Caenorhabditis elegans: one gene and its partners. The protein of the gene in region 2 interacts with the protein of the main gene of each other region in a pairwise test. Each region holds a gene or a part of one and is shown on either strand. Other genes may lie near its edges. The genes, in order: C03D6.1, ncl-1 and nrde-3.

Evidence for each region.
Region 1: the proteins of ncl-1 (region 2) and C03D6.1 interact in a two-hybrid assay, tested with the Caenorhabditis elegans proteins (one large-scale study listed by BioGRID).
Region 3: the proteins of ncl-1 (region 2) and nrde-3 interact in a two-hybrid assay, tested with the Caenorhabditis elegans proteins (one large-scale study listed by BioGRID).

Annotation. Positions count from the first base shown.
Region 1 is NC_003279.8:9,668,756-9,672,510, reverse strand, and holds the start of C03D6.1 (Piwi domain-containing protein), read left to right. Parts: upstream 1-1,784; 5' UTR 1,785-1,795; coding exon 1,796-1,857; intron 1,858-1,902; coding exon 1,903-2,014; intron 2,015-2,062; coding exon 2,063-2,263; intron 2,264-2,412; exon of another isoform or gene 2,413-2,500; coding exon of another isoform or gene 2,501-2,681; intron 2,682-2,727; coding exon of another isoform or gene 2,728-2,954; intron 2,955-3,009; coding exon of another isoform or gene 3,010-3,090; exon of another isoform or gene 3,091-3,096; intron 3,097-3,336; coding exon 3,337-3,647; intron 3,648-3,695; coding exon 3,696-3,755. Other genes in the region: rsl-24D1 (putative ribosome biogenesis protein RLP24), read right to left, coding at 2,501-2,681, 2,728-2,954, 3,010-3,090.
Region 2 is NC_003281.10:7,718,160-7,721,914, reverse strand, and holds the start of ncl-1 (RING-type E3 ubiquitin transferase), read right to left. Parts: upstream 2,125-3,755; coding exon 2,099-2,124; intron 1-2,098. UniProt on the Caenorhabditis elegans protein: Translational repressor that inhibits protein synthesis.
Region 3 is NC_003284.9:370,428-374,182, reverse strand, and holds the start of nrde-3 (Nuclear RNAi defective-3 protein), read right to left. Parts: upstream 1,949-3,755; 5' UTR 1,930-1,948; coding exon 1,671-1,929; intron 1,625-1,670; coding exon 1,447-1,624; intron 1,398-1,446; coding exon 1,118-1,397; intron 770-1,117; coding exon 159-769; intron 107-158; coding exon 1-106. UniProt on the Caenorhabditis elegans protein: Transports small interfering RNAs (siRNAs) from the cytoplasm to the nucleus. Required for RNA interference (RNAi) in nuclei. Required for exogenous RNAi-induced H3K27 methylation.

The DNA of each region.
Region 1 (3,755 bases), on a different chromosome or scaffold from region 2:
CATTTTCAAAATTTTCAAATAATTTTAACTCGAAAAATAATTAATGTATTACAGAAGATTCGCTGACAAACTTCTTTTGCAAAACTAACTAGTTTTTGAGTTATGCTCAATTAGAAAACCTATAAAGATTATTTCTTGGCCGATACTTCATGTCCAAAAATAGGTGACATTTAGGGATCATACATAATTTTTTCAACTCAACGTTCATTGCTCACGATATTGAAGAGCCTACCGAGTATGAAAAACCATTCAAACAATCTACCGTACTCATTTTCTAAGACTTTTGCAAAATTTGGTTGACATGCGGTTTCTCTCTCAGGTCAAAGAGCAGACTATCAAAAAGAAAACAATGAAACCGTCCCCCAATTCGACCTGACACAATGATTCCCAAAAACTGATAAAGAATTGTTCTTCCCCTTTCCTTCCACGGAATTCCTCTGACTTTTCACCCCTGTCCCTTCATCATTTTCATTTTCTATTTCGCTATCCATATCACATCATATCATATCAAAACGACACCACGTGACTTTTCCCCCTATTACATTTATAGTTTGTCGCAATACGTTGTTTTATCACTGAATTGATATACATATTTAAATTAATGAGAGAATTTGTTAAATGACTGCCAAACAGTTTTTTCTCGTAGACTTCTTTTCTCGATCAGCAGCCCCCGAAAAGATAGAATCTTTAATGATTGTCCACGCATTTAGACTCCCTTCTTTGATTTTTCTTATCACTTTAGAGTGTCTACATGAAAAATCTCACCCTTTTCGCGGTACAGTATCATTGAAGAAACGTGGAATTAAATACACGAACTTCTATAAGTTTTAAGGAAGGCGGATTTATTCGAATGAGGTCTCGTCGGGAATTTTACGAAAACGATCTGTGTATGCGTCTTTATGTTTACTGTATACCTATAGAAACTTCCGGCTTCTTTTTCTGTGTTTTATAGTTTTTCAAAAACGATAATTACTGGAAACTTCACTTACAATGTTGGGTGTTTTCCGAATTCAACTCGTGACCAAAAATTACAATAAACCAATAAAAAATAAAACTTAATTCATCTACAGTAAACCTAAAAAAGCGCGGCGAGAGTTTGCAAATAAAAACATTCTGTGAATAATCATGTCCAGAGAGAGAAAAAGATGAAATGGGAAACTGAAAGCAGATTTTGATTTAAAAAATTACATTGTAATTTTCTGAAACAAGGTTTCTTAAAGACACACCGATTTTGATATTATTTTCCTTTCTATTAAGATTTTTTTCAAAACAAATTTCTAGCTGTTTTAACGATTTTTCTCGATTTTTGTTAAGAATTTCAATGTGCTTGAGAACAAAAAAATGCAATAGGGAAGTCGAATAAAAGGAAACCTACAGTAAACATTTTTCTCGCGACGAGACCTATCTGAATAAATCCATGCGCCTTCAGGCGGATGTTTCAAAAAACCATCAGAACTATGATAATAGGACTTTCCGCCAAAATATCGGAAGAACAATCTTCAAGATGCAAAAATATTACTACCATATCATATCAGCTTCTTCCATACACAAATAGTGATATAAACAGCCCCCACGCGGTCGTCCTCATCCATCCGTCGACGTCAAAACTTCCTCTACAACGAATAAAAAGAAGAAGAATGTTCTGATCAGTGTGTATGTGTATATATGTCTATGTCATTGAAACCTCTAGGCTATTCAATTTTTATCTCTCCTTCTGTTTCTCCGTGTACCTTGTCTTATAAACTTTCTTTGTTGGGTGATTTCTGAAATTCCAAAATTTTCAGTCCGAATAATGATGGCATTAAGAAGAAGGCGACATGTGGCTCCAGATATAAGAAATAATGCTCACCAGTATATGTGAGATTTTAGCTCATAAATACCTATTTCTTAATTTAATTTCAGGAGAAGCTTGCGGGGGCCAGAGACAAATACGCTTTTTATAGGATATGCTATAAATCATGGAACTGTGGATCCAAGTACACCTGGGGTCTACAATAATCCCAGTACAGTTGTGGTAATTACATTTTTGTGCTCAACTCTTTGCTATTCGATGTAATTCCAGTTCACATTCAACGGAACCTCGTGTCCTGATCATTTTACCGAGTACTTTCATTTCCAAAAGGCCACCATTCCGCATGTTGATCCTGCGCTGATTCGACGAGTCACTCGGTGGATAATTGAAGACTTCAGATCCCATCGTGAAGTGCTCCCTGATTTTATTATTGTGCTCCGAGATCAAGTTCGCGATGATCTACAATCAACGGTACGTTTCCTATTAAAATAACTTTGAACGTTGCATCTTTCAATTTGAACACAACTGCGGCCTTGACCAATAATCTTACCACCACCTAGTATTTCGTTGAAACGCTTTTTCCTGTCCAGTAGTGAATATAACAAGAAATTCCAAAAAATCGTAAATCCAAGTGTATTCACAAAAGCGGGAGTAGAACAACAAGTAACAAATAACAAAAAGTTTAAAAAAAGAAAGAAAATTGGGTACTCAATTGGTCTCCATCGATTCTGCGGTTTTCTTTTCTTTTGCTGCCGCCCTTGTCTTGACACCATCTCTGTTTGCAACTGGAGCACGGATGAGATGCATTTTCTTGTCGACCTTCGCAAGGAGTCCCTTCTTCTGTACAATCTTTCCTGGTTGCAGACGTTTTCTGATCAGGTTACCATATCTGAAAAATAATAGTTGCTTTTTGATATAAATTTATTTTTATTTACCTTTTTGTTTTCAATGCGGAAATCGTTTTGGCAGCTTCAATGGTCTTTTGGAACATGGCTCTTTCATACTTGACAGGCTCATCTCTGCGCTGTTCGAGAAGCTGTGTGGCGTCGTTGATAAGCTCCTTTCCGCGAGCACGACGCGCAGCCTTGGTGAAACGAAGCTTTCTTGGGTTCTTCTTCTTCTTGAACAATTTGTTACATCTGGATCGGCAGAATTTGAACACCTAAACAGATTGATTGAACAGTTCGTAAACTAATTTTATTTTAAATAGTTCTTACTGTGCTATCGTTTCTGACAAACTGGATTCCGTGTCCCGGGTAGATGGGAGACGAGCAAAAGTAGCATTTTTCAATGCGCATTGTTACCTAAAATTGATAAAATAATTTATTAACGCAAAATACGGTGAAATTGGACAGTGAGAACATTGAAAAGTAACAAAATTAGTTTAGAATCAAGAATTGCGAAAAAATAAAAAAGCGATCGCCTTATGCGCAAAGGGAGAGAAAGGCGCCAGCGAGTGTTGCTTGCGCACTTTGCGTCGGTGATAAAAGCGCGGTGATTCAAATTGGAAATCATGTACCAAAGAAGAAATCGTAAGTTTTCAGGTAGAACATCAAGAGTTCACAGCTTTCAAAGAAGAAATATCAACATATATAGAGACTGCATCAAATCTTCCAGAATGGAATCCTCGATTTGCATTTGGATTGGCTCCATGGCGACCAGAAAATACGGAACCACTCGTTTATTTGTTTCAAGATGACGGAATTTTCCAATCAAACGAAGAATTTCAAAACTTAATTGTTAACATGTTTATAACAATTAGAGTTCGTAATCATCGATTTTCTCTTCTTGAACCTCTTTGGAATGCTGAAAACAAAGCTGGACTGTGGACTAAATTTTTTCCCAGTTACGCAGCGTAAGAATATTCGATTTCTTGATAAATCTTTTAATTTTTGATTTTCAGTTTCAGAGAAGCACACAACAATGCTCTACCTCGAATTGCTAACTCTTCTCAATATGATTT
Region 2 (3,755 bases):
AATTACACAGTGCAAAACCAAACACTTTCATCTACATCTAACTTACATCTAGATGCACTCGCAGAACCACGAACAGAGAGCCGATCAAAAATCAGACCAATCGGGGCAAAAGGGAAGAGGGAGAATTGGGCGAAAAAAATGCTGGAGAAAGGGGAAAAGAATTGTCGTTTTCGTTTGCCACATACACTAACTATGCCGTTCTCTCATTCAGTTCGTCACATCGAGAGGAACGGGCGGTTTGCATCGGAATGGCAAACAAACAAGAGAGAGAGAGAGAGTTGTTTTATGCAATATGATGAATGGTCGAAACCCACCTTCTAGGCAGAAAGTGCGAAAAAAATGGGACAAAAAATGACGGATTCTCTAGAGTCTCTGGGTTTCAAAAGCTATTTTCAAATTTAGTTTGGACTTTTGGAGTGGTGAAGCGAACTGGATTGAACTGAGGAGGAAAATGGAGAAGCTGTGATTTTCAATTATTTTAAAAGAGGCTTTAAATTGTAATTAGAAACAAGGCGTTCCACGGAGGCGCGAGAGCTTTCATATATCGCTTAAACGGGTTTTTTAAAGTTCAAATTGTTAAAAGACATTTTGCATCAAAAATAAATTTATGAAAATATTACAGGCTACCTATGTTTTATGATTTTAAATATAGAAACATCACATCAGAAGTAAGCTTTCTAGAACGCTTCACAAAAGTTTTTTGAAAAAAAAAACATTGCGACCAAACTAGATTCTCCCAACCACAAGATCTTCACCCCTATTCCAATCAAAAAAATGGATCGGTGCTCTCCTCCGTCCAGAGTCACATGAAAACGACACAAAAGACGCGTGGCGATTGGAGGAGAGAAAGAGAGGCGCAAAAAATGACCCAATGGGCTTCTGTTGAGCCATGCGAAAAGAGAAACTAGAGAAAACTGAAGAGAAGTCATGTGGCTGCATCACCGCCGTTTTTTGACCTTTTTTTGAGCAGATTTTCTCGTGAAACTAGAGAGGATTAACTAAAAATATATATATTAATGGATACAATACACATTTCTTCTAATGATCTCTATACTCGGCAAAACGTCGCAACTTCATAGCAAACTCCTGCAACTTAATAAAAACATTCATATAACTTTGTAAAAAGCTGTCAAGAAGTTGCGAAAACCAACGGGATTGTGAGCGAAATTTAGCTTTACATCTGCTAAGAAATTGCAAAAGTCATCTGAAAAGCTGCAGAAGTTTGCTTAAAAGCTAAAATGCCTAATTGTTCTTAAGAAGTTGCAAGAGTATGCTATGAAGTTAGGCCGTTTTGCCGAGTAGGAACCCTACGTACAAATTATCAGAAACATTGTTTGAGAAGCTACCAAAATTTACATTTTCGCCGAAGAAAAGGAACTAAACTGAAAAATGAAAAAAAAAGTAAGCATTCTTGCTATCATAATATTTTGTTGGAATCAGCAAAAAACGCGTTGATAAAAACGATTTTATCAACACTTAATGTGGATTTTTGACAGAGCAGGCGGTACGGAAAATGAAAAACCTACAGTACTCCTTGAACGTTTTGAGGCAGCAGAAAAAATCACTGCCTACACTACAACAATTTCGGCTAATTTTATGAAAGTGGTCAGGGAAATTGGGTGAATCGTATTTTGACTAGGAGACTGGGAAACTATATTTAATAAGTTCCTATTATCCTTGAAATTGTTTGAATATTCAAAATTATTATTGCCACAGAGCGTTATTTGAGAAGCTTTTTATTTTTGATTTTAAACTGAAACTTGCAAAAGTTTAACACATTGATTTTTATAGATTCGATATCTATCCAATTCAGTAAAATTCACTTTTAACAGAACATGTGACGGACGTCCCACAGTTTATTCTCCTTGTGAAGGATCTCATTTAATTCGTGTCGATTTTTAGATTATTTTTAATTCTGAAACTGTGTATAACAGTTCCTTGAGCTTCGTTCTTTTGAAGCTAGTAAATCATTAAGAAGGTTCAACAATGAGAGACTTAGGAAAAGTAGGAAACATTACACTTTAGAATAAAACGCAGACTAGAAAATAGTCAGAACCTTTTGTTTAAAATTGTTTAATTTTTGAATAAAACAACTGACCTGCAAATTTCTAGATACGGAATCATTGTCTTCTGGATGAGGCTTTCTGTGGAATCTCCTCTGAAGAGCAGGTGTAGAGCAGGCTTCTGAAATTAAATCAAGATTTCCCTCAACTTTTAGTATGAAACAGTTATTTGAAATCGACGGTTTGAAAGTGTTCCGGAAGAGATCTAAAAATCATTTACAGAATTCAAACTTTTTGTGGGTGAAAGAGGGAAGCGTATAGGAAATATGTGTGTCACATCACAAAAGTCAAGTGACAGTGGGAAAAGAAGAAGAGTTAAGAGATGGTCAGAGACGCAGAGGGAAATTGAGGAAAAATTGAAAACTGTGTGCAAACAGTGCAGAACTTTGATGATTTCCTACTGGTTTTACTTCGTATTTTTGGGTAGATTTGTTTCAGAGTTTCGGTTTTTGGACGAAATTTAAATTGTCTTGTTCTAGAAAAGTTTTACACGAATGTGGGACAAACTACGAAGGGTCCATCTTGATACCAATTTTCAAAAATTCGCGTGAAGTATGATGTACAAGTTCGGTAAATACCACGAATCAAGAAAATTATGCAAACATCATTGACTACCATTTGGCAATCCATCAGGGTGAGGCGACATGGCGCCTTTTTCCTCGCCTTCCTATCGCCCGCCTCGCTGTTCGGTGTTACAATTATATTGAACCGTTGCTGTATATTTTTTTTTGATTATATTTTTTTTCTACCTTCTTAAAGGCGTGGAGGCGGGAAGGGGAGAGCAACCGTGCAAGCGCGGTTTTATGCTCAGTGAATTGCCCAGTAGTGCAAAGCGGAGAAGCTCGAACTTTAAATTCTGCAAATCATTCAAATAAATGCTAAAATTAATCTTGACAAATTTGCGCGGAAAATGTTTTCCCTAACACATTAAATTTCCCACACACAATTGTGACAATTTTAGAAGCCGTTTGAAGTTTAACGAATTATAATAATTTCCAACAATTTTAATTTTTAAAAATTTTTTAGAGTCAACTCTATCTTTCTATATAACTTTTTGGCCTACACATTCTGCTGCCAAGGAAACAATTTTAGGCCTAAAAATTCATTTGGCGGGAAATATGAATGTTGTTAAATCTAGATCAAGATTAGATACAACTTATACAAATCGATCAAAATTCAAAAAATAAAAAGTAAAACAAAAAACTCTCGAAAAAAGTTATTATCATTTCAAAAAGATAGAGGGGCAAAAGACACTATTTCCACATCAGTTTTCCACCCGTCACACACTTTTTGGAACAAACAACATACGAAACAGTGTGTCAAAATGAGAGAATGTGATAGATAGAGATGGGCGGTATGTATGCGTGTGCGGGAGAAGAGTGGGAATGAGGAATTGGGGTGGAAAACGGGCGGTCACTTTTAAGAGATCATTGATCTAATAGAGGAGTTAGAGAATCAAGAAAAACTTATTTTTTTAAAACAAACCAATTGTGAAAGTTTATAAAAATGTAATCGTATCAAATTTTAATTTGGCAATCCACAATTCATATAAATTTTCACTTCTTGAAAATTCATGTGCAAAAGATTACTGTAGAAAATTTATGTGAAGGTTAGAGGGCGTTTTGAAAAAAAAGAAGAAATTCGGCAATTATCGTATTATCGATATTTATATAATAATTTATTGACTATCAA
Region 3 (3,755 bases), on a different chromosome or scaffold from region 2:
CGGAAGATGTGGGAATTTGAGACGATAGTTGTACCGTTGTAAATAATACTCTGTGATGGAAGTGAGCTTCATCTCTCCGTCGGGAAGTTTTTGTTCAAATGTGACACTGAAATTTGTTAGTATTATATACGCATAAAAGTGTTTTTGGAGAAACTGACCTATCTGCTGTTCCGGTGTGAATTTCGTCTATCATGATTGAACGATTGGCTTTCGAGTCTTTAAGATGAATCGGCTGACAATCCAATCCTTTGAGAGACTGCTTGAGAGTGTTCAGCATACCATCCGAAATGCGTTCGTCTTGAAACTGTCTTTGATAATGTGAGACAGTTCTCTCGTCATAATCAATTTCACCATCACGCGGTGAGCGTCTATCATCGTATTTTCTACTGTTCCCGCCGCCATCGCGACGCTCTCTGCCACCATTGTGGCCTCTGGGTCCTCCACCACTATTTGTAAGTTGATCCATTTTGGCAGTGAAAAATTTGAGGAGAGACGTATCTTTGTAGAATGGCGATTTTGTTGTGTCAACGGTCATAATTGCATCTGGTACACCGTCCCGATCCACAATTTTTGTAGTCTTCACGAATCCTGACTTAATCAGAGTAACCTCGTCGGGACTGGCAATATCGCCCCCCTTCGTGGGGAAAGTTCCCGACGAATAGAGCAAAAACTTCTCATTGTGAAGACATTGGTCTGTTATAGCTTCAATGATACGTGTTAGCTCAGAACGGTTCTCCAATGTCAAAGCGTTTGGTCCACGCGTGTAGATCTGTAATTTTTTTTTGAAAAAATAAAAAGGAGAATGACATGTTTTTTATATAGGTTTGTGTAGTAGTTTGAAAAGAAGCCGTTTAAATAAAAATAAAAACTGCAACATGAAATTTGCTCAAATCAGAGCGCCCAAACATTTCACTTTAAGTTCTCGGGGACAGCCAAAATACAAAAGGAAAAGACGCTAAAAGATGAGTTAAGAATCTGAAAACGTTGTCATACCGTGCTTTCAGGACTTATGTTTTTACAGTCGTCTTCATTGGTAACTTTTTGTGAACTTTTGAAGTCAAAATTCCTGTTTCAAATTTTCAGCGTCGATAAGATATAGACGGCTCAAGAAACTCACTGGTGGATTTGTCTTGATGCGAATTTCAAATGTCGACCCACTCCGACGTGAGATGAGAGAAACGATTTTCCATTCTTGTGGCGAAAAGTCAGCTTCTGTCAGATGGCATACGTGCTCGGTCAACTCGACGTCAAAGAAGCTACATCCCACATAGATAGTTTCCGCAGCGTCGTATGCAGCGATTGCCGGATCAGTCATACCTTTGAACAGCTCAGGATTTCGTTTGAACCATGCCCGGAAGAGCAGGCATTGAGCTTGACGTCTTTGTTGACGGTTGACGCTAAAATATTCATTTAATTGTATATAATATGAAAAAGAAATACACTTACTCTCCGGAGAATGCCGAAACGCCAAGAGAAAGTTCAAAGCGACGTCCATCCGTGTGAACCAATGTGGCACGAAACATTATTCTGCTAATTCTCTCGTCCATTTTAGAAATATCTAAATTCCAAGCATTCATTTGTACCCGAAACGTACCAAAATTATTGAATGAATCCGGCACCGACACTAAAAATCAATTATATGTGCAAATTTCGCTTGCTAAAAAACCCACATCCTCCCAGTGGCTTTCGTTTTGGATCGGGACCTGTGCGATCGGTATGCTCTCTTTTTGGAATCCGACCTCCAAGAGATCCTTGCTGTGAGCCCGGAGTAGTGAAAAGTGGCTTCGGTGGCTGCTGTTGGCTGGATGGCTTTTTTGCAGTGCCCCAAACATTTGTACGTGGTGTGGATGACGCAGATGTGGCTGGTTTTTTGGCAGTTGAGCCTGGCTTAGAGCCCATCTCACCCATTACTTTGTCTAGGAGATCCATGATTAGTTGTGCAAATTACCTGAAAGAAATTTTATGAACTTGAAAATTTTATGTAAGAAACTGAAAAAAGAGAGCGAGAAAAAATAGAAGAATAGTTTGTGTATTTATAATTTAGTTAATTATATTTTAGAATAGAGATCAATAGAAAAACAGCGTCAGCACAGTCGCACAGCAAAGGAATGAAAGGCAACACCAACTAAATTCAAAGGCATTTGAAAGAGAGAGGGTGAGATGTGTCTCTTGCGCAAGATAACAGAGCGCGCGCACAGAAGAGGTTAGTGTGCAATGGTATTGGAAGAGGGTGTAGGGTGAATGCGTACGCAGGTATGATCGATCAAAAAGAGCGCGCACCAGATGAAGAACTGTGTAACAGACGAGTGTGTGTGGTGCAACGCGGAATAAACGTATCGATCGGTTATCGGGGAGACTCCTCCTTCATCGCTGATCGTTAACGAAGACATGAATAATAAGAAACCATGAGATCGTCATAATGCTTACCGGTTTGGCGCGAAATATCGAAGTGCCGTGGAGCATGTTTCGAATAGAAACGCAGGTCCCTTCACTACGAGGAACGGTAGGAATTCTCATGATCTCATGCTCGGGCAAAAATAAAAAGTCCTAAATGAAGTGAAACTCTTGCGTAAAGAGAAACTCCTACATATTCTTTCATAGAAATTAGGGATTTTTGCTACAATCTTAGCCTTTCGGGAGTTTTGTCTAGTTTGGAGCAACTCCTGCACACTCCACAATCTGCAACAAACTTAGTACTCAAGATTTTTTATTATTTTTTGCGGGAGTGGTTTCTCAATGCAATCGTTGTTTTTTCCGACAAATCGGAAAATTGCCGGAATTGAAACTTCCGGCGATTTGGCACATAGCCGGAATTGAAAATTTCCGGAAAATCGATAAACCGGCAAATGGGCGATTTGCCAAATTTGCCGAACAGTTTCGGTAAATTGTTTTTGTGGTTTTGCACTTTTTTTTTTTGAAATTTCAATATTTTAATTTCAATCGGCAAAATTGTATCCTGTGAATGTTCCTAAATCTATTCTGAAAAATAAGCAAATCCTATAAAAAATATCAAGAGAAAACGGGAATAAAATTTCAACAAGGCTAAGTTTAAAGTAGTTCCGTCTTCTGAAAAAATTACTCTAAACAATTCCGGCAAACTTGATCGACGGCAAATTGGCAATTTGCCAAAAATGAAAATTCCCTGTAAATCGGCAAACCGGCAAATTGCCGGTTTGTGGATAAAAACTAAAAAATAAACATGTGGATAAAAAAATTGCCAAACAGAAATTGCTGCCCACCCCTGATCCAAATGCATAATTATTGAAAAATCTACAATTTCATTTCAGTATCTTAGCGAGTCCGTCAATAAAATTGTAAAAATGATTGCAATTATGTTAGAAGTAAGTGCAAAAAGATTACAAAAAGCCAGCGCAAACAGAAAAAGTTTTTATTTTATTGCTCGATTGTTACTCTGATCTACAGCGGACGCAGGTTGCGTAGAGTTTAAGAATTTCAGTTTTCCGGTCAATCAATCTATTGGAAGAAATTGAAAGTGTAAAATTTAATAGAATTTTTGAAATACGGCAAAGTTTTACTTTTTTTAAAATATAAATATAAGGGAAAAATATAAAATAGAATTTTGATATTTTAACATTTTAAAAGTTTTTTTGAGGACACATTTTTCAGGAAAAAATGAAAAGATTTCAGTTCTACTACATAGAAACAATACATTATGTACTCACTCGGACTAAAAATAAATATTTTATTTCAGCGGCGGTTCTTTAGATTTTTGAAAAAGTGGTTCAATTGTTTCA